2 linked regions of the Notamacropus eugenii genome follow. The protein of the gene in region 1 purifies or fractionates together with the protein of each later gene. This does not show direct contact. Links are inferred from orthologs where the notes say so. Each region holds a gene or a part of one and is shown on either strand. Other genes may lie near its edges.

Region 1 (16,636 bases):
GTGGTCCATAGGAATCCTACTGGAAACACTTCACTCTTCCTAGTACCTACTAACTTAATTGGCTCTGGAAATCCAATTCCTTATCACCTTCCAAATGAGTAAATCCTACTCCCTAAAATAGCACTAAAATAGGAATTCCCACTCCATCTACCTAATGAAATAAAAAGTGTCAACTCCCTATTTTTTCTACCTTGCCCCAATCCATCCACAGACAGAACTCAAGCTGCCCAGTAGCTCCCTCCCGTTAGGGGTTGCTGACACTCAAATGTTGAAATCTGGCCCCTGAAACAGGAAGTTTTGCCCTCCTTCCTGCCTCTACACAGGCCATTCTCCCCTAAAGGAAGTCCGGCCCATCTATCTACATGTCAACAATCCTCCCCCACAGCATGACCATGAAGAAGGGATCTGTCCACTATGGCCAGGGGATGAGACCACAATCAAAGTTTTCCCTAAGCACCAGGACTGACTGGGTACTCCCTGGGTCCAGGAAGCTAAGGCAGGATGCCCCACTTCTCTTCCTGGTGGCAGAGAGAATCTAATGTGACTCCCTGGCCTCTTCCCCGACTTGACAAGAGGTTTCCAGGTCAGAATAAAGAGTTGCTTCCACCAAACCAGAATGACCCACCCACCCACTTCACTGAAGGTGAGGGCGGACTTATTCAGTTAGTTCATGCTTTCAGTCACAAGTCACCTCTTTTTCTGAGGGTAAGGAGGGGTTTGTTCCCTTATTTCACGCTTTTCAGACCCAAGTCATCTTCCCACCGACTTCTTTCACTGAGGCTGAGGATGGGCTTGTTCAGGTCATGTTTTTCAGATACAAACCACCCTCCCACCCCCAGTCCCTTCAAAACAGGAAACTGTGTTCCCTCTTCCTTCCCCCTACCCCAACAGCCCCCCCCAGCAAAAAAAAAATATATATATATGTATATAAAGTTTAATTCATATGTCCCAGTTCTTTAAAAAAAAAAAAAAGGCCCTCTATCAAGCCAATTCAAAAGGAAGTCCCTCCTACCTGTCATCATCACCGTCAAGGGAGCCACCAATGGCAAGCATAGATCGAGCCAGATTCAGGCGCTGAGCAGAGGCTCCAAAGGGGTCTGAGGATTTCCGGTTGGGATTGGTATCCTGAAGGAGGGAGAGGGCTGGAGAGCCAGGGCGGGAGCCTCGGAGAGGGAGCTAGAAAGAGAAAAACACACAACACACACACACACACACACACACACACGTTTCTAAATCATACCTAGTCTTTTGGTTCTCCCACCTTACCTCTCTTCTGCTCTAGCCCACCTTTCTCCCTATGACCCAAGTGACCTGTGGTCACAAGTAATGCCTAAGTGACCCATGGGATGTGTTCTGTGGTCACAAGGCCCTGAAGTGCTCAGTTCACATAGCCCCAGTTTGGATGGGGGTGGGAGGGCAGTGGCTAAAAGAGGCTTTTGTATCTGTACCAGCTTCATCACCTTCACCTCATCAAAGACAGAATACCCAGCATGAACTCAGCAACAACTAGTTGTCAGAGAAATCTAGGCAGAAATACAGTTATGGGGAGGGGAAGGGGGAAGGTTGCCTATATCATTTCCTACGTACAGCTCCCCCAAGTTTCCATAGCTGGTCCACAGGATAGTGTCCTCCCAGTTCCCATCCCCACTAAACCACTGCTCCAGCCTCAACACCCAGGTGTTCTGCTTCCTTTTTTTACCGCTGTTACTGGGAGGTTGGGAGGAGGTGGAGAATGGGTGTGGAGCTGTAGAGGGTGGATGCAACAGGGGAGGGGAGGGGAGGAGGGTGGGGGGGGTCAAGAAACAAACCTCCTTCTGTGAGGCCCCAGGAGGCCCTTGCTTCTAGGAAAACTTAAGAACAGAGAATCCAGGGACTGCCAGAAGGACAGGGCAGAGACGTGGGGGCCTCTAGGTCCTTTCTGTCTGCTCTCCATCTTCCCTCTCTCCACCCCCCCACCTCAAAGGTATGGGGAAAGAGGTTGGTAAAAGAGAAAGACGCAAAGATATATCTACTGAAAGAAAGAGACCAGAAGGTTGTTTTAAATAAACAAGGATTGGGGAATTATGGAAGGAGAGGGAAGGGGAGAAGAGAGGCAAAGACTCAACATAGTGGAAAACTCTGAGCCAGGAAGGCTTTAAGTGGCAGAGACAGAGGCTAGGGGCATTGGAAAGAGACAGAGTCTGGGGGAAAGGGATTAAAGAGTAGAAATAGAGCCTCAACCCCCAGAACTGGGTAGATGAGTGAACCAACTGAAAGAAAGTAAGGGGTGGTAGTGGTGGTGAAAGACCTGTGTACGTGTGGCTGTGGGGGGTTGCGGGGGGGGGGGGGGGGGGGGGGGAGGGAAGAAGGTAAGCCAGTCCTGGCCAGTCCTGGCAGGGCCCAGACATTCAGTCTCAGGTTATTTTTATACAGTGGTTTGTACTCAGGGGCCTGGAAGGGGGAAAAAGGCCTCATCTTCATTTTCCCACAAACCTCCCTTTCTCCAAGGTCTTGAGTTGTCCTGCCTCCTCAGCCCTGCTCCCTAACCAGAGATTCAAGTGTCCTAGCCCCTGACCTCCAACAGGGTCCTCTAGGGACCCAGGCATCCTATCCTCCAAACTGACCTGTTCCTCTTTTGGAAATGGAAAAAAACATACACAATTTTACTTTTCTCACCTTGCTCCTCTAGCCCTCTTCCCCTTTGTTCCACCCCCTCCAAAACTATCATAATCTTTGGAGGCTAGGGCAGGGGTGGAAAGAGATCTGGAAGCTATGCCTGGGGTACTGCAAGCCCCTGAAAATACCCTCCTTTCCAGTTCTAGAGATTCCAAGCCTTGGTCTGAGGCTTGAGGGGAAGGGTCCTGGAACCGGGAGAACAGAAATGGCCTAACTTTACCACAGATAGAAGAAGCCAGAAGGGCATGGAAACCACAGGATAGCTGAGTGAAGGAAGCTGTGTCTCCCCCACAAGTACCCCTCAAAAGCGTTCTTTTCAGTCAACTCCATGGTCAGATCCTTCACACCCTCCCCTACAGAGCCTAGTGTTATCAATCAGTCTCCTCCATTTCTGAAACTTTTGTCCAGAGAAAACTATATAATTCAGAAGAACAGATGGAGAAACAGAAAGATACGGAGGGACAAAAGAGATACACAACACTGAAATAAAAGTGAGAAAGAAACTTAAGAGAAGGGGAAGAGAGCAAAAGAGGGAGAAATGGAATTGAGAGAAGGGATGGAAATTCAGGTTCATAGAGAAGTATTAGGGACTGGAAGAGTCAAATATAAGGATGGGAGAGTTGAGGTACAAAAAAAGAAAAACTGAGGAGGACAGAATAGATATAAAGGGGAACCTGAAGTCCAGGAAGGAACTGGGACAAGGCATGAGACTAACACAAGTCCAAGGAAGAAAATTAAGTTGCAGAGAGACCCCCTTTTCGTGCACCCCTCCCACCCTTGCCTCTTACCTGGCCTCGTTCCTCCCCCTCTTTCCTCAGCCAAAAGGCTCCATCCTTCTTTCGGGTGGTTGGAGGAGTCACTGCTGGGGCCCCCACCTCGGCCTCTACCCTAAGGGTGGGCACCTGGGTTGAGGCATGTGGTACCAGTACCCCTGTACTGTCCCCATCGCTGGGCTCCGGGGGGTGCTGCTGGGGTGGGGAAGCTGGAAGAGGTGGTGTTTCAGCCCTCCCCTTGCCCCCTGCCAGCTGAGCTAGTCCCCCAGTGAAAGATCGGGCTTGAAGGCCAGGGGAAGTTGGGGGTGGACGCAGCCAGTTGGTTGGGCCTTGAGGTTGGGGGCTTGGGGGAACCAGGCCCAAACTGGACAACTCTAGCCTAGAATCCAAAGAGCGACCACCAGTCCCTCCAGTGGCTCCCCGAACTCCCTCCAGGAGCCGGCTGAGTCCTGGGGCTTCCAAGTCCCTCTCATAAATGTCCACACATGTCCAGCGCCCTCGGCGATATGGTTCCCCCAGTCCTTGGGGAAGTTTCACTACCCGGAAACGTGACGCTGGGGCCCCGGGAGGTGGAGAGCCATTTCGAGGGGTCCCTTTGCCTCCCGGCTCTGAGCTAGGCTCGCCATTGGGAAGACGAGGTGTGGGTAAGGTGGGAACCATAGCTGTAGGGGAGTCACTTCCCCCAGATCCCCCAGGACCTTCATAGTCTGTGGTGACACTGGTGATCTGGAAACTACTCTTCTTCTTACCCCCGCTCATGGTCCCTCGGAAATGGGACAGGAGCTGCACGAAGAGGAGAGGCCTCTCTCCAGGCAGCGCTCAGGCGCCCCTGGCACTAGGAGGCCATATAGCTGTGGGATCAGGGCCCCTGGCAACATCGGGGTCCAACATAGCTGGGAGAGTTCAAGGAACTGGGGCCGCCTCTGAAATTGAGGAATAGCAGGGAGAGAAGTTGTGGGAGTTGGAGGATGGGCAGGCTTTCCTTTGGCTGCTGCTGCCAGTGCTGCTGCTGCTGCTGCTGCTGCTGCTGCCGCTGTTGGACTCCAGAGCTGAACTTGCAAACTAGGAGGAAAAAAATTAGAGAGTCACTGGGGGAGGGAGTAGGTGTTATGGGAGTAAGACACTCTGGGTGCTTCCTCTGTGGGGAGAGCAGTGGAGATCAGGGTGGGGGAGAAACGAGGGAAACCACCAGAGAGAGATAGAGGAACCACAAGAGGTAGAAGAAAAAAAAAGAATGGGAAACAGAATGAGGTAGAGACAAGGAGCTGGAGGAAGTAAAGACAAAACAAACAGATTACATGGGTTATTATTGGTACTGTGCAGAAAGAGACAAGCCAAGTCCCAAGTTCGAGATGTAGCAAGGAATCTGGGTCTACAGGAAAGGGAGGTGAGCTCACCACTTCACAGCTCTGGTCTGGCATGGGCTTTCACACCCTAGTCTACCTTGGGGTGGAGGGGAGAGGAGAGCTTCCCTTCAGTGCTACTAGCACCCATTTCAGAATCTATGGGGTGCTAAAACTTCTCCTTAATCCTCGGCTACCCCAACTGGGCACATGCGTGCGCACACACACCCCCCTACAATCCCACCCCTAAATTCACACACACACACACACACACACACACACACACACACACACACACACACACCCCTACAAACACACACACACACACCCCTACAATCCCACCCCTAAATTCACACACACACACACACACACACACACACACACACACCTACAATCCCACCTCTAAATTCACACGCACACACACACACACCCCCCTACACACACACACACACCCCTACAATCCCACCCCTAAATTCACACACACACACACACACACACACACACACACCCTACAATCCCACCTCTAAATTCACACACACACACACACACACACACACACACACACACCCCTACAAACACACACACACACACACACACACACACACACCACACACACCCCCCTACAATCCCACCTCTAAATTTCCCCAGAGCAACTCGAGAAACCTGACCTGGGGATCCTGGCAGCATAAGATGCCCCAACAGACTGTCCACAGGAGAGCAGGAGAGTGGGGCCTCCCAGCCTAAGCTCCAAGAAAAGGGAGGAGGTGGGTGGTGGTCACAGGCAGTACAGTCCGTAGAGGCCTTTCCTTGACCCACAAGTCATCTCCACAGCAACTTTGTTTTCCAAAAAATAATAAGCACTGCTTTCAGTCCCAGAGGAATATGGCCTTTATGGTGGTGAAGGGCCTTTAGGTCTGAAAGCACAGCTGGTCGGAGAGAAGCCGAGGGCTACTCTCTCTGGAATCTTTTCCCTTCTGACAGTGGAGCGCGCTCGCGCGCTCTCTCTCTCTCTCTTTCTGTCTCTCTGTCTCTCTCATCGAGCATGTGTCTCTCTCTTGTCTCCAGCTCTTCTCTCTTGGACTCTTGTCTCTTTTTCTCAATTTCCCTAGCTCCTCTCTGTCTCTGTCTGTCTGTCTCTCTCTCTCTGAGCTGTTGACAACCCCCACACCAGGAAGTCCTGCCTCCTCAGCCCTGCTGACTGCTGTTCTACTCCTCCTCCTTCCCTTCTTCCTCTCTCTCACTCTCTCCCGCCTGCCCGCCCTCCTCTAGGGGCTCTCTGCCAGCTGGCCCTACTCCAGAACTACTGTGGCTCATAGAGGGGGCCCCAAACACTGGGGTCCTCTTAACCCCACACCTGCCTGGTGAGGTAGGCTCTTCCCAGTACTTTAGGGAGTCAAGATTGGGTTGGAAGAAAGATCAATTCCCTTGCAGTTACACGGGGACACGGATAAATGTCCATATACGTGAACTGACACAGAGGATATTTATTCATACACACACGTATGTATTATATATATGTATGTATGTATGTGTATATATATATCTTTGGACTCAGCACATTTGTAGAAATATGAACAGGTAAACAAAGATTCACAGATGCCCTCACAGATACTCATACATACATACATATATATACATATGTATACATACACATAAATATCTGTGCACAGAGATACACACACAACTCCTCTTAGAAAGAATCCAAATTCCTATTTTCTCATTTTACGACCCTACCACCTTGCTTCTCCCAAAGAAATTCAAGGACAGGCCATTTAGCATAAAGAGATTTCATAGATTTCTAGGTTCTCAGAATCTGAAAGGACCTCAGAGGTCAAGGTCCCATCATGCCTCATGGAGAACTTCCATTCTAACAAATTCATTGCCATTTAAAGCTACTCTATAATCATTGTTAGCTTTTATATATGACTTCAAGGTTTGCAAAAGCATTCTCATGACATCTGTGAGATAGGCTTTACAGGTTATTATTTCCATTTTACAGATAAGGAAACTAGGGCTCAAGAAGTTTAAGTCACTTGGCCATGGTCACACAACAAGTAAAACAGCCTGTTCCACTTTTGGACAGCAAAAATGTCCCAAAGCATACTTTGTAATTTCTATACTATACTCCCCGCTCTCCTCTCCCCTTCCTCCCCCTCAAAACATTCAGAGGATAGTAGTTTTAAGTATCCTTTCACTTTCCTGAGTTCAAGGGAAGTTACTATCCCCTCTTTCCGGGGGGAGGTTGTTCTCCCCCATTAAATTGTGAACTCCTTGAATATTTTCAAGAGAATATTTTTTGCCTCTTTTTGTATTCCTAAGGCTTAACAAGGCACTTAATAAATCTTGATTGACTGATCTTTGGAGTGACTTCCAGTCCTCCCTAGACAAATCTTATCAAGAAAGATCCTTGATACCTACCTCATATACTTATTAGCCATACAACCTTGGGCAAATCACTTCACCTCTCTGGACCTCAGTTTCTTCAACTGTAAAATGAGGGGGTTGGTCTCAATAAGCTCTAAGATTCCTTTCGGTTTAATAGACATGATCCAGTGAACTCTCCCCTTCAAATTCTTGACAGCATTTCTAATATTGTATATATATACATAGATGCATATGTGTATATGTACATATGCACATGTGTATACACACACAAAATACTGCATCATATAGATGTGGGCAGCTAGGTAGCACAGTAGATAGAACTCTGGGCCTGAAGTCAGGAAGACTTCTTCCTGAGTTCAAATTTGGCCTCAGAAACTTATTAGCTACATGACCCTGGGCAAGTCACTTAACCCTATTTCCCTCAGTTCCTCATCTGCAAAAGGAGCAGGTGAAGGAAATGACAAACACTCCAGTATCTTTGCCAGGAAAATCCCCAATAGGGTCAGTCACAAAGTGTAAGATGCAACTGACATGTATTATATTTATATGCATACATACACACATACATGTATGTGTCCATATATGTATGTGTGTTTCTGTTTGCTAAAAGAAATCTGGACTGTGGCTTGTTTCCTTCCCTTCTCCTGTAAGGCCCTGGAAGCAAGGCCCCCACAGATCCTACTCTATACTTCCTAGAATAACTGTTATATGCCTCTCATAGTGTCAATTACCCCTCTCTTTGGCACAGTGCTCTTCCAGTACCACACCCACAGTATTCCCTGCATGCAGTCACAGTATTTAAGCACCCATCTCAATATAAAGGCATAAATTCAAATAAATCCAAATTTTTTCAGGAAATGCTTTTGGATAATTATGATTGTAACTAGTCCTAGAAACAATAGCCAAGTAAGAAAACTATCGCTTTAAACCCTGGGGTTCTCTGCCCCCCCCATCACTATCTTCCCTTTATTTTCCCCCAAAAAACTGTTTTCAGTTTACAAACTCATCCAATTCAACAAATATTTATTTACTAAAGTGCCCAGTTCTAGGCGTTGAGGAAACAAAGATGAAAAACACAACAGTTCCTGTCCTCAAAGGGCTTATATTCTATTACAATAGTGTTATATCTTCCAGGCATGTTTTATTTCATGATTATTTTGAGAACTCATTTTATTGATCACTTGGTCTTTGCATCATCATTATTCCCTCCCTCCCCACCCCCACTACACCCTCCCTTGTGACAAAGAAAAACAATGAAGGGAAAACTGATACGGAAACTTTACCTGAGAATATATACAATACTCTGTCCTAGAAATCTCACCTCTCTGCTGAGAGGGAAGAGATAGATATGCTTTCTCTCCTCTCTAGGAACTTCACTGTGCCTAAGGGTATTTTAACAGAAGTTAAGACCTAAAGGCAAAAGAATAAATCACCAATTGTGGGATCTCAGATTTCTAGGAGGTGGGTGAGGGTAGGGATTGGGGAGGTGGATAGGTCTTCACGGTTTTGGAATTTACTTCATAGAGACAGACGCTAAGTGCTGCGATCAGTGGCGGTAATTAACATGATCAGGGACCACTGACTTGCCCCCCAAAGTAATCCTTGCACGAGTCCTAGGATGAGAGCTCGTGCTATTCCGGGGTGCCGAGGGTTACGGAGAAGCAAGGTCCAGGTTTTTAGGACGCCAGGTACAGCAGGAAAGGAAAGTCGATGGGTTAAGGATGAAGCCAGCTCCCCCCAGCCTTCTCCTCTTCAGGAGACCTAGAAGGCGAACAGCCCCTCCTGCTGGAGAGGTGTGTTTGTCTATTCGTACAGCCATCTGTCTGTCTTGGGCCGGTCTCTTTTGTCTCTCAGAAAAGAAGCCTGCTTACCCCTACTGGTCTCTCCATCTAACTACAGCGCCCCACCCCCGGCTGGCCTGCCTTGGGGGGAGCCCTGAAACTTGCAAGATCCCCAACTCCAAACCGCAAGATGTTAGGGCCGGAAAGGGCCTTGAGAACACCTTGTCCAAGCCCCTTGCTTCACAGAGGAGCCAAGGGGGGCCGGGGATCCCCTCAGTAAGCTTCCCCTCCCTGGCAGGGCCAGCACACATTCCTGGCGGCTCCCGGGCTGGAGGGGGCTGTGAAATAGACAAGGAGTGAAGAGGGCTGGGCCGGCGGCTGCAGGTCCGCACGCGGCCACCAGGGGGCCCCCCGCGCCAAGGCGCACCGGGGCGCCCGAGCCGCACGCAGCCCGAGGTGGTCGCGGCTGGGGCCACAAACTTAGGTTCCCGGGTCGGCGGAGGAGCGGGTCAAGCGAAGCCCTGAAGACAAGCGGCCGCTCGAAGGCCCCGGCGCCGGGGCCGGCCCCTCGCCGTCTCCGGGCTTCTCCGCCCCGCTCACCCTTGCCCATCCACTCGCGGCCCGCGCCTCCACGCCTCAGTCTCCCTTCAGCGCCCCAGCTCCCGCCGCTGCCCCGGCCCGCGTGGAGGGGCGGGTCTGGGGGCGGGCCTGGAGGCGGGGCTGTCTCTGCGGCAGGCCCGAGCTCCGCTCCCCCTGATCTCTCTGTCTCTCTCTCCCTTCCTCCCTCCTCCTCCTCCTGCTCCGGGCTCCGCCCGGCATGGGGGGGCCGGCGCCTGGCAGGCCAGGTACGGGGGCAATGGGGAAACTGGGGGGACTTGGCTGGGCAGGGAGGGGTGTTGGGTGGAGGAAGGGGAGCTGAGAGGCGCAGGGGATCCGGACGAGGGGAGAGGTGGAGGAGGGCACGGGAACCACGGGGCCGGGAGATGGGGCAGGCCAGGTCCAGAGAATCCGGGGAGATGTAGGGATGCAGGAGGAAGAGGCCCCAGGATGAGCAAGGAGAACGGGGATGGGGAGGGATGGGGCAAGTGCCAGGCTAGGTAAGAGGGTGGGCACTGAGTGGGAGATCTCTGGAGCCAGGGACTCAACCTGCAACCACCCCCCCGCGACCCCCACCCTCTCCCACTGATGCTTCGGGGGTGAGCCAACACTTGGGACTGATGGAGAAGGGCTTGTCCGCATCCCCAGATCCAAGAGGGTGGAAGGAGACTGGAGCCAGGGCTTGGGGAGGCAGGGGACTTGATGCCAAGGAGGTGATAGAGGGATATGACAAGGAGACGGAGCAGGGCCAGGCCCTAGCCTAAATGCTGGGAGGAAGGGGAGTGTGTATGTGTATGTGTGTGTTTGTGTGTGTTTGGGGTACGGGTGGGGGCAGGGGTGATTCATTAGGCAGTCAGGTGCTGGACTACAGTCTTGGGTTAAGAAGAGTGATTGTTGCCTGACTCAGTCCCCCTTCCCTCCTCCCAGATGCTGGGAACTTGACTGAGCCTCCCCCACCCCCCATAAAAAAAATGGTTGTAAACCTACACCAATAAGGCACCAAGCATTAACTCTTCTGTTTCAGCCTGTCTAATTCTGGGTATCTGATTAATGTGGATGTCTGTGTGTTTGTGTGTGTCTCTAGTCTGTGGGTGTGTCTGTGGGTGTTTATGTCTGTGGGTGCATCTGTCTCTAGATCTGTTTACCTGTGTATACGTCCATGTATCCATGTTCATCAATGTGTCTGGCCCTGTAGTGTATTCTGTATTATCTAGGCCTGTCTTATACACAGTGTATATATTGTATATGTAGTCTGTATAGAATATGCTTGTATTTTGTCAGTATGTGTTTCTGCACACTTGGGGATCTGAGGTATTTTTCGATACCTATCTGTAATCTGTTTTTGTTTTGTTTCTTTTTTTTGTGGGCCCAAGTCATGTCCTCTATCCTTTTTATTCCTGGTATCTTCTCATATTTTTTAAAAAAATTTCTTTTTCATCTTAACTGTGACCCTTAAGTCACTTAACCTCTGTTTGTCCCAGCTTCCTCATAGGGAGGTCGTGAGGATAAAATGAGATTAATGTAATGCACTTTGCCATCCTGTAAGTGCTATATAATGTAAGCTAGTATTATTACATATGTAAAGTGATTTGCATATCTTAAGGCACTATTATATGTCAGTTACGATTGCATTAACTTACTCTCATCTTTTTTGATGGGTTCAGATAGAACTGGACCAAGAGCAAGTTGCTATCCTGTTATTATTCTTATATATCTCATGTTCTGCGGATTGTTGTCCAGATTGATAAAATGACTACTTTTTGAAATTGAATAAGAATATTGGGATATAAATTCATCTTCCTAGACTCACTGAAAGCACCTTCCAAGAGCATGCAGGAGGATGACAGAGGATGACATGTTCATCCTATGCCTACATGGTTTGAATTTCTTCTGCTAGGTCTCTATTACTACTTGTACTCCTACAACCACCCCATACCACCACCACTACTACTATTATTTTTTTCCCCAACCAAGTTGATCCAGGACCCAGGGAGGGGGCCCCCCCAGGCCTGGTGGTGCTGAGCAGAGCCCCACATCTCCTCCTTCTTGCCCTACGACATGAACCTGCTCTACCGAAAAACCAAGCTGGAGTGGAGACAGCACAAGGAGGAGGAGGCGAAAAGGAGGTAAGACCATAAAATGATCCTAATACTCTGTCTTCATTTGCTTTTCTTACTTAGTGTCAACTTGGATGTTGTCAACTCTCCTCTACCTCACTTTTCTCTCTCATTTAATCATGAACAGCAATTGTTCTACAGGCCCTAAAGAGAATCACATAATAAGCATGATCCCAGCTCTCTGTGTATTTAAGTTCTAAGCTTTTTCTTTGGTCCTCAGGATCCTACTTTTCTGTCCAAAGTATTCCTTCCTGATTTAATTTTCCCTTACCCCTCATGTAAGATGGTTTCTTTTGTTCACCCCAGCTTCTACCATCCCCAAATGCCATATCCCTACTAACCCTCTTCTACCGTCCCCAAATACCTTTAGCATAAATTCCATTCTCATTTCCCTAGCTTCTTCTTCCCTACCCCCATCCTACTTGGGGCTGCCTTTTCTGTTCTTTGTCACCTGACCTCAGATAGTACAAGTCCAACAATAAAGGTGCAGAGGCAAACAGCTCTCTTACCTCCCAGGGTCCAAGGAGGGAGTTGGATGAATGAGGGAGCTTTTTTATTCCTTTCCCATCTTCTTAATCTGGGAAAAGTTGAGGAAAGAGGTGCAAGGTAGAAGAAATGGAAGATGAGAGACCATCGTTGCCTCTAGACTAGTGAAAACTAACTTAGGATCATGGATTTATTTAAATGTTTTTACAATTCAATTTTATTTTATTTTCTGTTCTGAATTCTGTCCTTCCTACCTCCTCCTCCCCTGCCTGATCGAGAAAGCCAGAAAAATAAAACCCATTGCAAACACGTATAGTCAGCAAAAGAAATTCTCACATTAGCCATGTCCAAAAAAAGAAAAAAATATGCTTCAGTCTTCACTCTGAGTGCATCACCTTGCTTATCTGGAGGTGAGCAGAATGTGTCGTTATGAGTTGGTTCATAGATCTAGAGTTGGAAGGACCCTAAAACCCATTCAGTCCAACTCCTTTATTTGATAGATGAGGTAACTGAAGACCAGAGAGGTTAAGATATTTGTCCAGGTTCACACAGGTACTAAATAACGGAGACAAGATTTTTTGGGGGGCAATTTTTCCCCCAAAATTTATTAATTTATTTGTTTTCACTTTTCAGCAAGCACTTCCATGAGTTCCAGATTTTCTCCCCCTTCCTCCACTCTCCCTCCCCGATGGCATGTGATCTTATATAGGTTCTACACATGCATTCCTATTAAACAATTTTCACATTAGTCATGTAAAGGCAAAATTTCTTGAAGGACTATATTAGATCCCTTCAGACTACACTAAGATCTGTACTCATCCTATCCTTTGCCTCCTACTATAGGTTTCTCTCTCTGTCTGTCTATCTCTCCCTGTCTCTCTCCCTCTCTCCTTACCCCAATCTCCCTCTCAGAGCTTTCCTTCCTCATTTCCCCACCCCTTGACTTCCTTCACTTTCCCCCTCGTGGCTATACTGTCTGGAGAAGCCTGAGTCAGATCCACCTCCCCATTACCCCTCCTCCCCCTCCTTACTGTGGGATTTAATTAATGTTGTTAATTAGATTAATCAGAGCTATCACTGCAGAGATCTCCCCTTAATGAAGGGTTAGTAGACAGGGCCCTAATCAGAGATCCCACCCCACAGCAACCCTCCAGTTTCCACACACATCCCCTACAGTTCTCCCCCCCTCTGTTCTTTCGCACAGAAGCACAGAGGCTGTGAATGAGAGGGGAGGGTGAGGGATAAATTGTGGAATCAGGAAAGAGAGTAAGGCAAAAGAATGACAGAAGGAAAGAAAGGAGAGCTAGAGGAAGGAGAATCATAAAGGAGGGGGGCGAGGAAGGCAGGCTAAGGATGACTGAAGTAGTTGGAAACATAGTGGAAAAGTAAGCCATCAGAAATGTGTGCATATCTCCAGCATGGAGTGAGGCCAGGGGCCAGATGTGAAACCTTAGGGGCTGATTCTGCATCTGCGGGTGCCACTCAGGCTTTCCTCTATGAGGAATGTGCTTGACATCAAATCCGTGCAGCTCTCCAAATTATACACAAAGCATTTCGTGCAGATACTGTTTGAAATATGGGGGCCCAAATAGACTGAGGGGCTTATTGTCCTCCTAGCTTGTACCCTCAAAACTTTTATCCATTTATCCTTTTCTTCTGTCTTTTTAATCCCCAAGACCGAGGCCTTGAAGCTTCCCCCTCTGACCACTGCTTTCTGTTTTATTTTTAGTGTCCTTTCCCATGGATCTCTGTATTAATCCTCATTCCTCACCTGCTGCCTGCAGCATACCCACACCCACACACCATACCATAACACACCAGGAGGTGACGAGGTAGCTTTAGGGGAAGCCCTGCCTGACCTGATGACTGCCTTTGCCTCTCTCATTTTTCTCTGCTTCTTTTTCTTTTACCTATCCCTTCCCTCAGTGCAAGTAAGGAAGTGGGACCTGCAGGTCCTTCAGGGCCAGGGCCCGGGGTTCGAGCACGAGACGTCTCTTCGCTTCGACGCTCCCTCAGGATGGGCTTCATGACCATGCCTGCTTCCCAGGAGCATGCTCCTCACCCCTGCCGTAGTGCCATGGCTCCCCGCTCCCTCTCCTGCCATTCAGTGGGGAGCATGGAGAGTAGTGGGGGCACTACTGGTGGTGGGGGGAGCGGTGGAGTTGGGGGAGATGTTGGAGCCCGGAGGCCACCTGTGAAGCCCCGGAGACACCCCAGCACCAAACTCAGCATGGCTGCAAGTGGGGCTGAGGCACCTCCCAGCAAGAAAGCAGGTACAATCCTCTTTTCCCCCATGATATTCCCTTAATTCAGCAAGGATTTTCCACAGGAACAAAGGTCCATTTTGAGTTTGAGAGTATCCATTTTGGCACCAGGGGGAAGTGGAAGGTTTCATTTTTAGAATGAACAAGAGATTCCATTCTGGGTGGTTGTAGGATCTTAGGTTATAGAGCTGGAAGAAACCTCAGAGGCCATCTGGTCCACTGTCCTGACTTAACAGATGAGGAAACTGAGGTTCTGAAAGGTTAAATTATTTGCCCAATGTCACACAAGCAGTCAGTATTAGAGGAAGGATTTGAAGGCAGGTCCTCTGACTCCAAGGACATAACTCTTTTCACTGAATGGATTTGAGCTATTTCTATGGAAAGAAGAATCTATCCTAGAAGTCCATTTTAAGGGTCAGGAGATGAATTGTGGGAGTGAATTCAAAAACTGTAGGCTTCCTGGTGTTCATAAACAAGACTGACAGAAAACTGACTGACTAGAGCTCTGGGTTAGGGGAGACGGGAGGGGGAGAAAGGAGCAGAGTGCCTCTTGAAAGGAGATGGCCTTTAGAATGTCTTAATGACTCTTCTATGTCAGTCTTATTTCAGTCTCTGCCTTTTCTTTCTGGGACTTTGTCAGGTTCTCAGAAACCAGCTCCTGAAGGCCGTGAGTCTAGCCGGAAAATCCCTCCTCAGAAGCCAAAGCGCAGTCCCAACACCCAGCTCTCTGTCTCCTTTGATGAGTCCTGCTCGGTGGCTCCCACTTCTCGGGTTGGGGCCCTAGCCCTGCAGCGATACAGCCGAGGGGGGCGGGCGGGAGGTGAACATGATTTGAGCTCACAGGATGAAGAACCTGTCTACATCGAAATGGTGGGAGATGTCTTCCAGGGAGGCGGAGGGAGTGGTGGAAGAAGTAGCGGAGGCCCAGCAGTTGCCTCTGTTGGAGGAGGGGGCACAGGCCCCCCTACTGGCCCAGACTCGGACTCTGAGGAGAGTGAGGCCATATATGAAGAAATGAAATACCCACTCCCTGAAGAGGTAGCAGAAGGCCGGGCCAATGGAGTCCCCCCACCAGCTGCTGTCTCTCCATTGCATCACCCTCATTCTCATCACTCCCACCGCCGTCCAGCCTCTGCCCTCCAGAGCAGACAGAACGGGGCTCCCACTAAGACTTCCCCTTGTGAAATCCCGCCACCTTTTCCCAACCTTCTCCAGCACCGTCCCCCACTTCTTGCCTTTCCCCAAGCCAAGCCTGCTACCCGGACCCCTGGGGACGGGGTCTCTAGGTTGCCAGTCCTCTGTCACACCAAGGAGCCGGCTGCCCCTGTCCCAGCTCTCCAAGTGCCTGGACGGGATCAAGAGACACCCCCACCTCCGCCTCCTGCTGCCAATTTGCTGCTACTGGGGCCCTCTGGTCGGGCACGGAGCCATTCAACACCACTGCCCCCTCAGGGCTCTGGTCAGCCTCGAGGGGAGAAGGAGAGGGAGATTCCCAATTCCCATAGTATGATTTGTACAAAGGCAGCAGGAGCACCAGCACCTTCCCTTGCCCCAGCCATGTTGCTCCCAGGACCCCCTAAGGACAAAGCTGTGTCTTATACCATGGTATACTCAGCGGTCAAGGTGACGACACACTCTGTCCTACCAACTGGCCCATCTCTGGGGGGTGGGGAGCCGAAGACAGAGAAGGAAATCTCAGTCCTTCATGGGATGCTCTGTGCTAGTTCCAGGCCTGTACCTCCTGGGAAAGCTGCCCCCTCCAGTGGGCCTGGAGTACTTCACCACCGGAGCTGCCTGGCTTCTCCCCACAACCTTCCTGACCCTACAACTAGCCCCCTTTGCCCCCTCTGGACTTATCCAGCCACAGCTGGGTTCAAGAGACCCCCAGCCTATGAGAGCCTGAAGGCAGGGGGTTTGCTATCAAAGGGCTGTGGGGTTGGGGCTCCTGCCCCCATGGTCAAGATCCAGCTACAGGACCAGGGTACCAGTGGGGGTGCATTTGCTAGCATCTCCTGTGCCCATGTCATTGCCAGTTCAGGGACACCAGAGGAGGAAGAGCAGGAGGAGGAGGAGGAGGAGGAGGTGGGAACAACGACATTTGGGGCGGGCTGGGCCCTGCAAAGAAAAGTCCTGTACAGAGGGAGGAAAGCAAAAGACTTGGAGAGTGAGTTGGGAGGTGGGGAGGAGGGAGGGAAGATATGGAAAAGGTGGGAGAAGGGAGGGAAGGGAGGTTCT
Region 2 (15,991 bases), on another chromosome or scaffold:
AAATTGGCACCTTAAGAACTAGCCTAACTCAGCTGGCAAGGGAGGTGCAAGGGGCCAATGAGGAGAAGAATGCTTTCAAAAGCAGAATTAACCAAATGGAAAAGGAGATTCAAAAGCTCACTGAAGAAAATAGATCTTTCAAAACTGGAATGGTACGGATGGACGCTAAGGACTTTTCGAGAAAGATATCTCAGAACATACCACGCAGATTCGAAAAATGGAAGATAATGTGAAATATCTTATTGGAAAAACAACTGACCTGGAAAATAGAATCAGGAGAGACAATGTAAAAATTCTGGGACTACCTGAAAACCAGGATCAAAAGAAGAGCCTAGACATCATCTTCCATGAAATTATCTAGGAAAACTGCCCTGAGATTCTAGAACCAGAAGGCAAAATAAATATTCAAGGAATCCGCAGAACACCACATGAAAGAGATCCAAAAAGAGAAACTCCTAGGAGCATTGTGGCCAAACTCCAGAATTCCCAGGTGAAAGAGAAAATATTGCAAGCAGCTAGAAAGAAACAATTCAAGTATTGTGGAAATACAATCAGGATAGCACAAGATCTGGCACCCTCTACATTGAGGGATAGAAGGGAATGGAATAGGATATTCCCGAAGTCAAAGGAACTAGGACTGAAGCCAAGAATCACCTACCCAGCAAAACTGAGTATAATACTTCAGGAGAAAAAAATGGTCTTTCAATGAAATAGAAGACTTTCAAATTTTCCTGATGAAAAGACCAGAGCTGGAAAGAAAATTTGACTTTCTAACACAAGAATGAAGAGAACCATGAAAAGGCGAACAGCAAAGAGAAATCATAAGGGACTTACTAAAGTTGAACTGTTTACATTCCTACATGGAAAGACAATATTTATAACTCTTGAAACATTTCAGTATCTGGGCACTGGGTGGGAGTACACACACACACACATGCACACACGCACACATACATAGAGACAGAGTGCACAGAGTGAATTGAAGAGGATGGGATCATATCTTAAAAAAAAAAATGAAATCAAGCAGTGAGAGAGAAATATTGGGAGGAGAAAGGGAGAAGTTATATGGGGCAAATTATCTCTCATAAAAGAGGCAAGCAAAAGACTTATTAGTGGTGGGATAAAGAGGGGAGGCAAGAGAAAAACATGAGATCTACTCTCATCACATTCCACTAAAGGAAAGAATATAATGCACACTCATTTTGATAGGAAAACCTATCTCATAATACAGGAGAGTGGGGGACAGGGGCACAAGCAGGGTGGGGGGGAGGATGGAGGGGAGGGCATGGGGAGGAGAATGCAATCCAAGGTCGACACTCATGGGGAGGGAAAGGACCATAAGAAAATAGAAGTAAAGGGGGACAGGATAGGATGGAGGGAAATATAATTAGTCCTATACAACACAACTAGTATGGAAATCATTTGCAAAACTAAACAGATATGGCCTATATTGAATTGCCTGTCTTTCAAGGGGAAGGGGTGGAGAGGGAGGGAGCTAAGGAGGTTAGAACTCAAAGTGTTAGGACCAAATGTAATGTGCTTACCACTGGGTAACAAGAAATACAGGTTAAGGGGTCAAGAAAGCTATCTGGCCCTACAGGACAAAAGAGAAGACGGAGACAAGGGCAGGGAGGGAGGATAGAGGAGAGAGCAGATAGGTCACAGGGGCAATTAGAAAGCTCGGGTTTGGGGGGGGGGAGGGGAGAAAAGGGGAGAAAATTTGTAACCCAAAATTGTGTGAAAATAAATGTTAAAAATTAATAAAAAAAAAAATTAAATGAATGGCAGAAACCATAAAACAAAAAACAAAACAAAATACAAAAGAAAATAGTCTGCTTCATTCTGTAATCCAAAAAAAAAACCAAACAACAAATATGCACCAAGTACTGTAGCATCCAAATTTTTAAAGGAAAAAGTAAATGAATTACAGGTGGAAATAGATAGCGAGATTATAATAGGGGGGACTTCAACCTTCCTTTATCAGATAAATCTAACCAAAAAAATATATAAGAAAATTGTCAAGGAGATGAATAGAATCTTAGATAAGCTAGATATGATTGACATCTGGAGAGAAATTAATGGGAATAGAAAGGAATATACTTCTCAGTAGTACATGGCATCTTTACAAAAATTGATCATATACTAAGACATAAAAGCTTTATAGTTAAGTGCAGGAAAATTGTAATATTAAGTGCATCCTTTTCAGATCATAATATAATAAAAATTACCTTTAAGAAAGGACTATGGAAACACAGATTAAAAATTGATTGGAGACTAAATAACCTAATCTTAGAAAATGAGTGGATTAAAGGATGTCATAGAAACAATAAATAATTTTATTTAAAAGAATGGTAATGAGACAACATACTAAAACTTGTGGGAAGCAGTAATCAGAAGAAAATCTATATCCCTAAATGCTTACATCAATAAAACAGAGAAAGAGATCAATGAATTGGGTATACAATTTTTAAAAACTAGAAAAATTGTAATATCTCCAACTGAACACCAAATTGGAAATCCTAAAAATTAAGGGTGGGTGTAAAAAAAACCCATTGAATTAATAAATAAAACTAGGAATTGGCTTTTATGAAAAAAACCCAAAATAGATAAACCATTGGTTAATATGATTAAAAAAGAGAGAGAAGAAAACCAAATCACTAGTATCAAAAAATGAAAAGTTGAGAATACATCACTAGTGAAGATGAAATTAAAGAAATTATTAGGATTTATTTTGCCCAATTATATGTCAATAAATTTAACAATTTAAGTGAAATAGAAGAATACTTTCAAAAGCATAAACTGCCCAGATTAACAGAAGAAGAAACAGGATATTTAAATAAACCTATTTTATTTTTTCTACCTAATCATTTTCTTTTTTTTTTAATTTTAGACTCAAACATCAGAACACAAATATAGATGAGAGCAAATAAAAAAATCATAAACTTAAATGCAAAAAAAGGGGGAAAAGCATGTCATGTATATAGCAAACATAAGAGAGGATTCATAGTATGTAATGATAAATTTTCATTTCAAGAAATCCTGTATGATAAATACTACATGTTGTGTTGGAAGTTATCCTTCTTTTCTTTTCTTCCTTGTATAAAATAAACCTATTTTAGAAAAAGAAATTGAATAGGCTATAAATGAGTTCTTAAGGAAAAAACCAAAACATCAGGACATATGTATTTACAAGAGAATTCTACCAAACATTTAAAAATCAGCTAATTCCATATTAAATAAATTATTTGGAATGATAGACAAAGGAATCCTACCAAACTCCTTTTATGAAACAAATATAATGCTGATAACTAAATCAGAAAGAGCAAAAACAGAAAAAGAAAATTATAAACCAATTTTATTAATGAATATTGATACAAAAATCCTAAATAAAATACTAGCTAGGAGACTTTAGCAATATATCCTTATGTTTCCATTGTGACCAAGTGGGATTTATACAGGATTGTAGAGTTGGCTCAATATAATTATTAACACAAATGATTGTATCAATAGTAAATCAATCGTATCAATAGCAAAAGTAATAAAAATTTCATGGTTATATCAATAAATGCAGAAAAAGCTTTTGACAAAATAAAGAATTCATTCCTATTAAAAAAACATAGGTGTAAATCTATTCTTCCTTAAATTGAGAATAAGCGTCTCAAACCATCAGCAAACATTATTAGCTAGAAGCTTTCCTGATAAGATCAGGAGTAAAACAAAGATGCCCATTGTCACTAACATCATTTAATATTATACTAGAAATAACAGTAAGAGAAGAAAAAGAAATTTCAGGAATCAGAATGGGCAATGAGGTAATAAAACTATTTCTTTTTGTAGAAGATGTGATAGTATACTTGGAAAATCTTAAAGATTCAACTAATTATGTGAGTTTATTTTATATCCTGCCACTTTGCTAAAATTATTATTTCAATTAACTCACATAAATAATCAGTATTTCTATATATTACCAATAAAGCCCTGCAAGAAGAGATAGTAAGAGATGTAAATAACCATAAACAATATAAAATAACTAGGAACATATATGCTAAGACAAACCCAGGAACTATATGAATACAATTATAAAATACTTTTATTCAAATAAAGTCAGAAAATAATTGGAGAAATATTAATTGTTCATAGGTAGGCCATGTTAATATAATAAAAATGACAATTCTATCTAAATTAATCTATTTATTCAATACTATCCCAATGAAATTACCCCTCCTTCCAATTTTTATATTGAGCTAGGGAAAATAATGAAATTCATTTGGACGAACAAAAGGTCAAGAATATCAAAGAAATTAAAAGATGTAAAGAAAATAGGTCTAGCAGTACCCAATTTTAAACTGTATTATAAGGTGTTAATTATCAAAATTATCTGGTACTAGCTAAGAAATAAAAACGTGGATCAATAGAATAGAATAGATATACAATACACAGTAGTAAATGATTGTAGTAACCTTGTGTTCGAGAAATGTAAAGATTTAAGTTTTGGGGATAAGAATTCACACGGTTAAAAAAATGCTGGGAAAACTGGAAAACTATTTGGCAGAAACTAGTATAGACCAATATCTTACACCATTTGCTAGATAAGGTCAAAATGGACATATGACGTAGACATAAAGGGAAATATCACAAGTAAATTAGAACACAGAACATATTACCTATCATATTTATGAATAGAAGAATTTACAAATAAACAAAAGATAGAGAGCATTGTGGGATGTAAAATGGATACTTTGGACTACCTTAAATTAAAAAGGGTTTGTACAAATAAAACCAATGTAGCCAAGGTTAGAAAGAAAGCAAAAATACAGGGGGAAAGTTTTATAGATAATTTCTCAAGTAAAGTTCTCATATCTTAAATATGTAGAGAACTTTGTCAAATTTATAAGAATAAGAGTCATTCCTCAACTGATAAATGGTCAAAAGATATGAACAGGCAGTTTTTGGAAGAAGAAATCAAAACTACATGTAGTCATCTGAAACAATGCTCTGTCAATATTGATTATAAAAAAATGCAAATTAGAACAAAGTTGAGATACCATCTCACACCTATCAGTACGGCTAAAATGATAGAAAGAGGAAATGACAAATTGTGGAGGGGATGGGGAAAAATTGAGATGCTAATACATTGTTGATAGAACTGTGAACTAATCCAACCATTTTAGAAAGTAATCTGGAATTACGCCCAAAGACTTGCAAAACTATGTATATATTCTCTGACTCCGCAATAACATGATTAATATTAATTAATAACACAATAACTGTTTCCTGAGATGATCAGGGAAAAAAGAAAAGAACCTATATGTTCTAAAATGGTTATAATTCTTTTTTGTGGTAGAACTGGAAATTAAAGGGATGCCCATCAATTGGGGAGTGACTAAGTAAGTTGTGATATGTGATGGAATACTATTGTGCTCTAAGAAATGATGAGTAGGTTGATTTTAGAAAAATATGGTAAGACTCGCATGAAATAATGAAGAGTGAAATGAATGGTACCAAGAGAATGTCATATATCATTAGCAATAGTGTTTGAAATTCTGAGCAAGATGAATATTCAAATCAATTACAAAGGACCTATGAAGGAAGATGATATCCACCACCAGAAAAGGTATTGTATGGTTGTGCACACACATACACATATATGTATGTATATGAGCTCACAATGTAACAAAAACTAAATTATTTTTAAAAGAGATGACTTTATTATTAGCTTGGCCTTATTTGAGGCTTCTTAAACTTTTTCCACTCGCGACCCCTTCAGTGACCCCATATGAAATTGCGACCCATAATTAAAGAAGAGAAGGCAGTTCCTCTGATAAAAGTCCATATTCTTGAGGGTCAACTAAAAGCAAACCCAGTTACTGGAGAATCATCAGTGGGGTTGCCCATGTCTTCTTAACTAGAGGTTAGGGCACAAAAAAATTATAGATCTATAGCTGGAAGGGAGTTTGTAGGCCATCCAGTTCCACTCCCTCATTTTAGAGGTAAGGAAGGAAGGCCCTGGGAGACTTAGGGACTCACCCAAGGTCACATGGGGAGTAGGAACTTCCATGGAAGGTACTCCCTTACAGCACAGGTCCACAACACATGATCTCATCAAGTTGGTTGGGGAAACTCATTAAACTGATCAGAGGTTCACCTCCCATTACAACTAGATCTCTGAACCAATGATTTCCTCTAGCCAATGACTAGTCAGGTGGACATTTTTTTGTTCTCTACCCAGATTGTTGCATTCAGGAGATAGGAACCGCTACAGTCAGGAAATGAAATTCCAGGGACACTGTCATTAATTATTGTGCCTACCACAGCAGTTAAAAACCCAAGGAACTGGGCTGATTTTGGGACATCAGGCCAGAGAGGAAAAGTCCCATCAGGTGGCCAGGTGGCAACACATGTGAAAGAAGTGACATAGAGAGGGTGAATTCACCCAGTGGTAGGGCAGGGCACTCCATCTCTCCCTCTTTCTCACTGTACGGGAGTCATAATCCTCCTCTGAAAACATAACCAGACAGCAGAGACCTGGGGAAGCAGGGCAGAGATAGTATGACTCCAGTGCTGAGCAAAGTTCACAGGGTGGGAACCAGAAAGCATCTATCTCTGGGGAGAAGACAGCTACTCACCCTAACGCCTCGGATCCCTGATGCAGTATCTTAGGAGCCACTTGGGCTCCTATTCCACCAAAAGCTTCTGGGAGAGTTTAGGGAAAATGAAATTGTGAATTTATCTATTATAGGGGGGGTTGTATGTTCTGGGAATGGAAATGGCTGACTCTATACCTGAGTGGCAGGTGATAGTTAAAAGTTTAAATACTATGTCTTTTGAAATTAGGATGTCTTTTCATAAAGGTATTCTGGAGTGTAATCAGAATGTCTTTTTCTTTTGGTTCGAAGTAGGTGAAAGATATATAAGGATATTAATGGGAAATGAAGTATGAGCTATATTTGGAGACGATCTGACTTGTGATAATTTTGTAACATATTCTGTTAATAAAAATTTTACATTTCAAATCTTAGACCAAGCTGAGGAGGTAGATGCTTCCACATCACTTCTCATCTGCTGCTAGCATTTAGGAAAATTTCCTGAACTATCTGCAGTTACAGAATCAGTCCCTTTGAAGGTATCTAACCCATCCCTTTCCATGTCATTAGATTACTAGGCTACCCCTCCTCATTAAGTGTAAAATTCTGTTGAGGGAGGGTGTAGCAGACCCCAGTTCTGACCCCTTTCTATACCAGGAGGATATAGGAACCAGAGGATGGCTCCTATTGTATGGTCACTTGTGGCTACACAATGTACCGAAAATGTACAGTTGAGAGTAGAGAAGAGACTAGGTGAGGATGAATATTTAGGTGGGAAAAAAAGAAAAGTGTGAGGACCAAATGTGGGTGACAATATCCCCCAGCTGAAATTTTTTTCTATCCTCAAATTTTTCGTCCTTTTTTGGGGTTCCTATCAAATTCTATCTTGTATCATTCCTTATTTGTGCACGTCATATCCTCCTTCCCTTATAAGTTACTTGAGAGCAGGAACTAAATTCATCAGGGTTTCCCTTATCAGTCTTGCTACATTTGTATCCTTGCGATATATAGTAGGAGGCAACTAAGTAGATACAGTAGAAAGAACTCTGGCACTGGAATCAGTCTTGGAAACTTACTACCTGTACAAGCCTGAGCAAATCACTTAATCTCTATCTGTCTCAGTTTCCTCTTTCGTAAGTAGGGAATAACAATAACAAACAGGGCAGCTTGGTAGGACAGTGGATGGAGTGCCAGGCCTGGATTCAGGAAGAGTCATCTTCCTGAGTTCAGCTAGCTATGTGATCATGGGCAAATTACTTACCATGTTTGCCTCAGTTTTCTCATATGGAAAATGAGTTGAAGAAGGAAATGGCAAACCACTCCATTATCTTTGCCAAGAAACCCCCCCATGGGGTCACGGAGAGTCTGACAAGACTAAATAACAGTAACAATACCATCTACCTCTGAAAATACAATAAAGCACCAACAACTGAAGGCTGCCGTGAGGATAAAATGGGATATTTATAAAGTACTTGGGAAACCAACCTTGAAGTGCTACATGAATGTTAGCTACTATCATCATTAGTAAATGGTTTGTTAACTTGGTTTCAGAGGTGCTCTGCTGCTCAACGATCTTTTGCTATCTTATATTGGAAAGAGCACTGAATTTGGAATCATAAGATATGGATTCAAAATCTGATGCTGCCACTTATTGCTGTGAGACCTTGGGTAACTTTGCCTGTTTGGCAAAAGATGAGTTTCCTCATCAATTCACCAATAAGTATTAATCCCCTACTATGTGCCAAGCCCTGTGTCACACAGTGGGAATACAAAGATATAAGTGAAACAGTCCCTACCTTCTGGAAGTTTACATTCCTCTGGGGGATGGGTGGGGGCACCGACATTTGGGGAGATTAGAAAAGATTTCCAGTTACGTTTCAGAAAACCCCCCTGCAAAAGGTGTGTGTGTGTGTGTGCGTGTGTGTGTGTGTGTGTGTGTGTGTGTCTGTGTGTCTGTGTCTGTGTGTGTGTGTGTGTGTGTGTGTGTCTGTGTCTGTGTCTGTGTCTGTGTGTCTGTGTGTCTGTGTGTCTGTGTGAGACTGTGTGTGTGTATACACAGAGACACCCACCAGGCACCAGGGCACACTCAGACACAAGGGTGGGGCCGCGGGCTGGGGGCTGGCCAATGGGAAGGGGCCCCAGGCCGCGACGGGGGCGGGACGAAGTGGCCTAGCCAGCCCGAGGCGGACCCCGCGGGGCGGGACCAGGAGGGCGGAGCTCCCCGGCCGCTCCCAGGCTCCCGCCTCGGCCCCGCTGCAGCTGCGGCCGGAGCGCTGCAAGAGGAGCCCACAGGGGATCCAGAGGAGGGAGGGGCGGGGCCCTGCCCGTGGCCGTGGCCGTGACCGTGACCGTGAGCGAGCAGAGCCCGCCAAGCCTCCGGACTGGCCCGCGCCGGCCCCAGCCCCGGCCCCGGCCCCCGGCCCCGCACCGCTCCCCGGGCGGCCGCAGCCATGGCGGCCCCGGAGCCGGCGCGGCGGGGCCGGGAGCGGGAGGACGAGAGTGAAGACGAGAGTGAGATCCTGGAAGAGAGTCCGTGCGGCCGCTGGCAGAAGCGCCGGGAGCAGGTGGGGCCCGGGCCCCTGGGGCTGGGAGCGGTCGCGCGGCGAGGAAACGAGTAGGACCTGGCCCAGGTTGGGAGCGAGCGCTAGAACTAAGGGGACTCGGAGTCCTGGCAAGGGGGCTGTCTGAAGGAGGGACGGGGCTCGTGGGCCCTGAGTTGTGAACGAGGACTCCGAGAAAAGGAAGACGCTAGGACCCATGGGACACGTGGGCCTTGGGCTGAGGAAGGGGTGCTGTGCTAGGGGGAGATTCTAGGACCCGAGGGGTTCGTGGGCGGGGATCATAGAGCCCTTGGTGAAAAGCAGACTGGACCTCAAGGGGCTGGGTAGGCGGGGCCCAGAGCTTTCCCGGGGCTGCGGCTTTTGGATAGGGGTCTGTAGGAACCAAGGATAGTTGGGGCACTGAGGGCGGGGTCGACGGGTAGGGGGGTAGGTAGCTGCTGTTTGCTGTGCCTTTGGGGCGGGGGTTCAAAGCGCGATGTGATGGGAGGGACCCAGCAGCAGAAGGCTGCCACCGAGGGGCTATGGGGTGGGGCCTTGAGGGGCTCGAGTGAATGGGGAGCTAGGCTTCAGGCTGCTTTGGCTCAGTGCCCAGGACTTGATCCCTCAGTCCTATACCAGCTCCTACTTGCCCCACCTCCCTTCCCCGAGCTCTGCAGGGCCCCTACTTTTTGCCTCACTCCGTTTAGAACAGGGGGAGAAGCAGACAGACACATTCTCCTAACAGAGTAGGGGGCGAGAGGGGACAGACACATTTTTTCAACATGTACAAGAAGGAATTGCTTAGTACCATCGTGGGTTAGAGTGATAAATCTCAGTAAGGCCCCTACTTTTTGCTTCATTCCCTTTAGAGCAAAGGGAGAAATGGGACAGATCTCCCAGGGAAGGGAGGAAAGAGGGGGCAGACAGAAATCTCCATTCCCCACCCCCATGCAGTGTATACAAAGAGGAAAGGCCACAATACCATGGGGGGAGGTCTGGATCTGTCACAGGCTGGGGGATTGGGAGACATATGTACAGCAGACATTCCTAGTTTGATTAATCCTCCACTCCTGCTGTTTTCCAAATCCCTGGATTCTAGGGAAGTTGATGGTTTTGGGGGTGGGGTGAAGGGAAGATGGGTACAACTTGGGGCAGAAGCCACCTTTATGACTGCATTCTCAGTGAAAGGCAGGGTCTTTTATCTAGACGGTATCTTAGGGGACCAAATGGGCCCCTGTCCCTTAGTTACTTCAGCTTTCCCTTTTGGATCAGGCGACTTCTCTGTTCCCTCCTCTCCCCTCCCCTTCCCTTCTGAGTCCAGGCTAGAGATGAGAGGAGCCTTTGTGTGACCCAAGGGGGCCAGGGAAGGGAAGGGGGAGGTGGGGCTGGCATGGGCCTGTGTCTTTGCCCTGCCTGTCCAACTCCCCTCCCCTTGGCCCTGATTCCTGACTTGACTGGCCCCCTTCATAACCACAGTTTGTGCCCCTAACCTGCCAAGCCCCTGCCTTGTACACTCCTCGCTTCTGGTACCATGAATGATCCCACTCCCTCCCCAGGTCAACCAGGGCAACATGCCAGGGATCCAGAGCACTTTCCTAGCCATGGACACAGAGGAAGGTGTAGAGGTTGTGTGGAATGAACTGCACTTCACGGACAGGAAGGCTTTCAAGGCCCATGAGGTGACCCCTCCTTCCCCCCAAATCCACTGATTGGTATCACCTGCCCCTAGTCTGTGCTTCATCTCCCCCTCAAACCTCTGGTCCCCCAGGAGAAGATCCAGACCATGTTTGAACAACTCGTGCTTGTGGACCATCCCAACATTGTCAAACTGCACAAATACTGGTTGGACACACCAGAATCCAAGGCCCGGGTGAGCCCAGTGTCCTGCCCATTACACAGCCTGCCTCTTGACCTGTTCCCTTCCCTCTCCCCCAATCCTTGAGCCACTGGGTGGGAAGGGGCAACACTAGGGACTCAGCCTAGACCAGCACCTAACTTCCTTCTGCTGCTCCTGCTCACTGAATAGGTCAGTCGTCATTAAGCTCCTCCTGTATGCCAGTCCTCACTGTCAAGGAACTCCCCAAGCCCCCTGGGAATATGAGGAGAGTACCTAGAGCTGAACCCTGGTCTTGCCCATCTAGGTCATCTTCATCACCGAGTACGTCTCCTCAGGCAGCCTCAAGCAGTTTTTGAAGAAGACAAAAAAAAACCATAAAGCCATGAATGCCCGGGTATGGGGGCTCTGGGGGAGGGGGCTGTTGGTATTGATGGTGAGGAGCTGGACTCAGATGATTTTAACTCCATCTCTGAAGACCTTCTGGTGCTTAGTGCCTGGTGGGGAATAAGCTAGCTGTTTGCCTGAAGTAGCAAAGACTTAAGCCCTCTTCTTCCCTCTGCCTGCAGGCCTGGAAACGCTGGTGTACTCAGATTTTGTCTGCTCTCAGGTGAGGTGGCCGTGGCCCTCAGCCCGCTTACTTTGTGTTTTCCTCACACTATTTTATAGCCCCATTCACCTCTCTACGTGGCTTTCAGTTGCCCATCTACTCCCTCCAATCTCTCATTTCCCTAAGTATCTAATTCCCTGTCCGACATACAAGCCATGTGACCATGGGCTAGTCACGTACCTCCCAGTGTTCCAGAAAACTCTGAAATAATGTATTATAGATGAGTTGCCGATCTGCATTGATAGAGTTTCTTCACTGGGAGTTCTTCACACCAATGAAATCATAGATTTAGAACCCCACTCGTGGAAAATGCAGACACACATGCATATCACTCACACACACACTCTCTCTCTCTCTCTCTCTCTCTCTCTCTCTCTCTCTCTCTCTCTCTCTCTCTCTCTCTCTCTTTAATACCATATCCCCTTAGCCTCTAGCTCTTTCTGAGGCTGGGTCTGTGTCTCCTCAGCTTTCTTCATTCCTGCAACCCTCCCATCATTCATGGCAACTTGACCAGTGACACTATCTTCATCCAGCACAATGGCCTAATCAAGATTGGTTCTGGTGAGGCTGCACTGGAGGACCATGGAGGGGGGAGAGCCAGAGAAGAGGAAAAGCCTACCTTTTTGCTGGCCCTGTTCCTCCCCACCACCCATTCAGATTTTTCTCTTTTTTTTCTCCCTCAGTCTGGCATAGGGTATTCTCCAATGGTGAGTTTCAGACAGGGGTGGGTGGGAATAGATGGGGGTAGATCAAGTATTTTTCTGGGGAAAGTCCTTTGGGGCCACCTCAGTCTCTCAATTTATTCCCTCCAGCAATTCCAGATGATCTCCGTAGCCCCATACGCATTGAGCGAGAGGAACAGCGAAACTTGCATTTTTTCCCCCCGGAGTATGGCCGTGAGTGACCAATGGGACCCCTGGGGCTTCTTCCAGGCCTCATTTTTCCTTACAGTTCTCCATACCCACTCCCTTGTTCTCTTACCCCTAACCTTTATTCCCTGCACCATTTTCCTCAGTCCCTGACCCTGTGATACCTTCTCCCTAAACTTCAACCCTGTGGTATACACCCTTCCTCCCCTACCCTTGCTTCCTCGATTTCAGAGGTTGCTGACGGGACAGCTGTGGACATCTTTTCATTCGGGATGTGTGCACTGGAGGTATTGGCCCCTCTCCCCTTGATCTCCCCAGCATGGCCTTCTTGCTCACATCCCACCCTGCCCATGCCCTTTCCTCCCAGCATGCCCTTTCCAGTCCATCCCTAGGATTCTCCACCCTCCTTCCTTACCCTGAGCAGAGTCCCTGGTCATTCCTTCCTCTTTTTAAACTCCCATACCTGCCCTCTTATCCTGCTTCCTGCCCCTTCCCCCATTTCTCTCTCTTACATTGATCTCACTCAGGCTCTGCCTCTGATTTCTTCCCCTTCTCAAGATGGCTGTGCTGGAGATCCAGTCCAATGGTGACACCAGGGTGACTGAAGAGGCCATCGCCCGTGCCCGACACTCTCTGAGTGACCCTAATATGCGGGTAAGCGCTGGCATCTCCTCCCATTTCCTCCTTAGCATTCTTCCCATGTTCCACCAGTCATATATCATCTCTAAATTTTATTTGGTGTCAAACATGGCTTAGCTTTTCTCTTTCTCCAGTGAAGTCTCTTTCTGGTTTCCAACATTGGAGAATGGTCACAAGAGGGTCAGTAGTCAGGGATCATAGATTTAGGTCTGGACGGAACCTTAAGGGGTATCTGGTCCAGTCCTCCCATTTTTCAGGTAAAAAAAACTATATCCCAGGGATGTTAGGTGACTTGTTTAAGGTCACACATGTGCAGTCAGGATTTGAACTCAGCCCCTCAGATTGCATTGTAACATATTCTTTTCTCTGACCCAGCAGCTCTGACTCCTCTTCACTTTCCTGCCCAGTTATGTACAGTCTCTGTGGAGTGTTCATGTGATTTATTATTTGCTGAAACGTTGCTGCATACACTTATGTTCCTGCTTTTGGTGATACTTTTTTGTATCTTTGATCACTTCAGTGGTCAAGGGCAGCCCTGTCTATAGCCTAGTCTTATTTGGGGGGTGGGAAAGGCAACTGAGATTAAGTGACTTGTCCAGGGTCACACAGCTAATAAGTACCTGAGGCTGGATTTGAACTCAGGTCCTCCTGACTCCAGATTAGAGTCAGTGCTCCATCCACTATATCACTTAGATATCCCTTGCCTAGCTTTATTTAAGAGTATCATGGCCCAAGTATTTCCTATAATGGTCATTCCCTCCCACACTTCACCTCACTATCGTTCTTTCCTGCAGTTCCTGACAAGACAAGTTAGCTCCTGCCAACCTGGAGAGGTACAGGTACCCTTTTTTACCTGGATCTCAGATTTTGTACTCAGTGTGAAATTAGTTCCTTTGTGCCCTTTTTGGGGTCCCCTTCCCAAACATAGATGCTGGAAAACAGTTATTTCCCACCTGGCCTCCAAAATCCATCATTCGTCTATCCTCAGGCCACCAATATGCATCTTGAAGACACTGCTTTCCTAGAGTTTTTTCCTCTCTTTTCCCCTTGGTTTGTGCTCTCTCCCTACTTCCTGCTTCTTTGGTCCCAGCTTGCCTCTCTAAAAGTCCTTTTCTATTTCTTAAAGTTGGCTGTGATTCATGAGGGTGGTCAGTCTTCACCTTTCATTCTGGGGAACCATCCCAATGCAGTCTGCCCAGAATCCATGAACAAGATCACAGCTTCCATTGTGACCCATTTTCTTTTTACTTTGATAGCTCTTAAGTAGGTAAGAAATGATCCCTTCCCTTCTTACAAAGTATTACCCTTCACAACAACCTTATCAAGGCTGTAATGCAAATGTTACTCTCCTTGTTTTTTGATGTGGTGCAAAGGTCAAATACCTTGTCATTGGTCCCACAGCTATTAAGTGTCAGAGCTGGGATTTGAACCCAGGTTTCCTGACTCCTCAATCCAGCGCCTTTTTCTTCTAGGTTACCTTGATTGAAATATATAGCTCTACTTATTTCCCTAGGTGTGAACTGATGACCTCATTGTCCCAAGTGACTTTTTATACTGCTGCCTTGTTACACTGCCATCATTCCTTGAGCAGTGACTTACTAAGCACTTGTTATGTTACAAGGTTGGAGTGCTGAACGCTAAGAATCCAAGGATAAATAATGATGTCTTACCTAGCCTTAATGAGCTTAAGACCCTAAGATTTTTTTCAGATGAACTGTATTTTCTGATTATGCCTTCCCCTGCCTTATATTTATCAAGTTGATTTTTTTTAACCCAGGTGTAGAACTTGAGGTTTATATCTATTAAATTTCATCTTTTTAGATTTGACTCCTTTTTCTTTTAAGAACTTTTTGGATGGTAAGTATGTGATCCTGTGTTGGTTGGCCCTACCAGCCTTCATCATCTGCAAATCTAAGTCATTGATCAAATTGTTAACTTGTCAAGGACAAGTCCCTGAGTCACTTCTTCAAGTTGACAATCAATGAAACAATCAATAAGCATTTCTTAAGTGCCAGGTACTGTGCTCCAATGTGGTAATACCAAGACAAAAAAATGAAATTGTCTCTGTCCTCAAAGAGCTTACCTTCTATTGGGTGAGACAACATATCCAGCATAGCCATACAAATTAATTAAAGATGTTGAGCACTAGCTGATGAGGTGGCTTCAGGCATGAGACACAGCCAATTCGAAGGTCCAGAGACAGAAAAGCATGTCACCTGGGAGGAACAGCCATCATGACAGTTCAGTTGGACTAAAACATATAATATGTAAGTAGCCTAGAAAGGGAAGTTGGAGCCCGGTTGTGAAGGGTTTTAAATGTCAAATGGAAAAACTTAATCCTTGAGTCTAGAGGTAATAGGGAGCCACTGAATTTACTGAACAGGAGAATGGTATCGTCCAACCGGTGCTTTTGGAATATCAATATGGCAGCTGTGTAGAGGATGGATTAGAAAAGGGAAACACCTGGAGCAGGGAGACCAATTGGGAGGCTACTGCAGTAGTCCAAGTAAGAATCGACAAGGGCATGATTTAGCTGATATAGCCTTGTGAGAAGAGAGAAGGGGATAGATGTAGATGATGTTGGGGAGGGAGACTTGACAAGACTTAGAACTTACATTTATGTGCGCGTGTGAATGTATACATATATATATGTGTGTGTACGTATGTGTGTCTGATGGAGAGGAAGGAAGGGAGACAGCCAATTAGTGAGTAATCGTTAGGGCGGGTCACCCAAGGGGTTCTGAATCTACCTGCCCTTACTATCTTCCGTCTCCATTTGTTTGTCATGGCCAAAAGGAAACCATGAGACACTTGGTTAAGGATGGCGTTTTGTAAATAGAAATAACAAGGATATAAGCTAAGGTTTGCCCATCCCCCTCATGGTTCTGTAACTGTTTTAGTGCTTTTTTTCTCTT

The links.
Region 2: the proteins of TSC22D4 (region 1) and NRBP2 purify together in Homo sapiens (affinity purification with mass spectrometry; 3 studies listed by BioGRID and IntAct, counting the BioPlex papers as one, with this or other methods). This does not show direct contact. The link is inferred for Notamacropus eugenii from reciprocal best matches to the Homo sapiens genes TSC22D4 and NRBP2.

Annotation. Positions count from the first base shown.
Region 1 is NC_092873.1:80,321,377-80,338,012, reverse strand, and holds the start of TSC22D4 (TSC22 domain family protein 4), read right to left. Parts: upstream 6,004-16,636; 5' UTR 5,440-6,003; intron 4,491-5,439; 5' UTR 4,188-4,490; coding exon 3,444-4,187; intron 1,177-3,443; coding exon 1,013-1,176; intron 1-1,012. Other genes in the region: NYAP1 (neuronal tyrosine-phosphorylated phosphoinositide-3-kinase adapter 1), read left to right, coding at 11,593-11,660, 14,064-14,410, 15,042-16,565.
Region 2 is NC_092875.1:85,374,795-85,390,785, reverse strand, and holds the start of NRBP2 (nuclear receptor-binding protein 2), read left to right. Parts: upstream 1-8,960; 5' UTR 8,961-9,034; coding exon 9,035-9,148; intron 9,149-10,680; coding exon 10,681-10,803; intron 10,804-10,892; coding exon 10,893-10,994; intron 10,995-11,265; coding exon 11,266-11,355; intron 11,356-11,527; coding exon 11,528-11,568; intron 11,569-12,034; coding exon 12,035-12,129; intron 12,130-12,251; coding exon 12,252-12,275; intron 12,276-12,380; coding exon 12,381-12,464; intron 12,465-12,668; coding exon 12,669-12,724; intron 12,725-12,995; coding exon 12,996-13,091; intron 13,092-15,991. UniProt on the Homo sapiens protein: May regulate apoptosis of neural progenitor cells during their differentiation.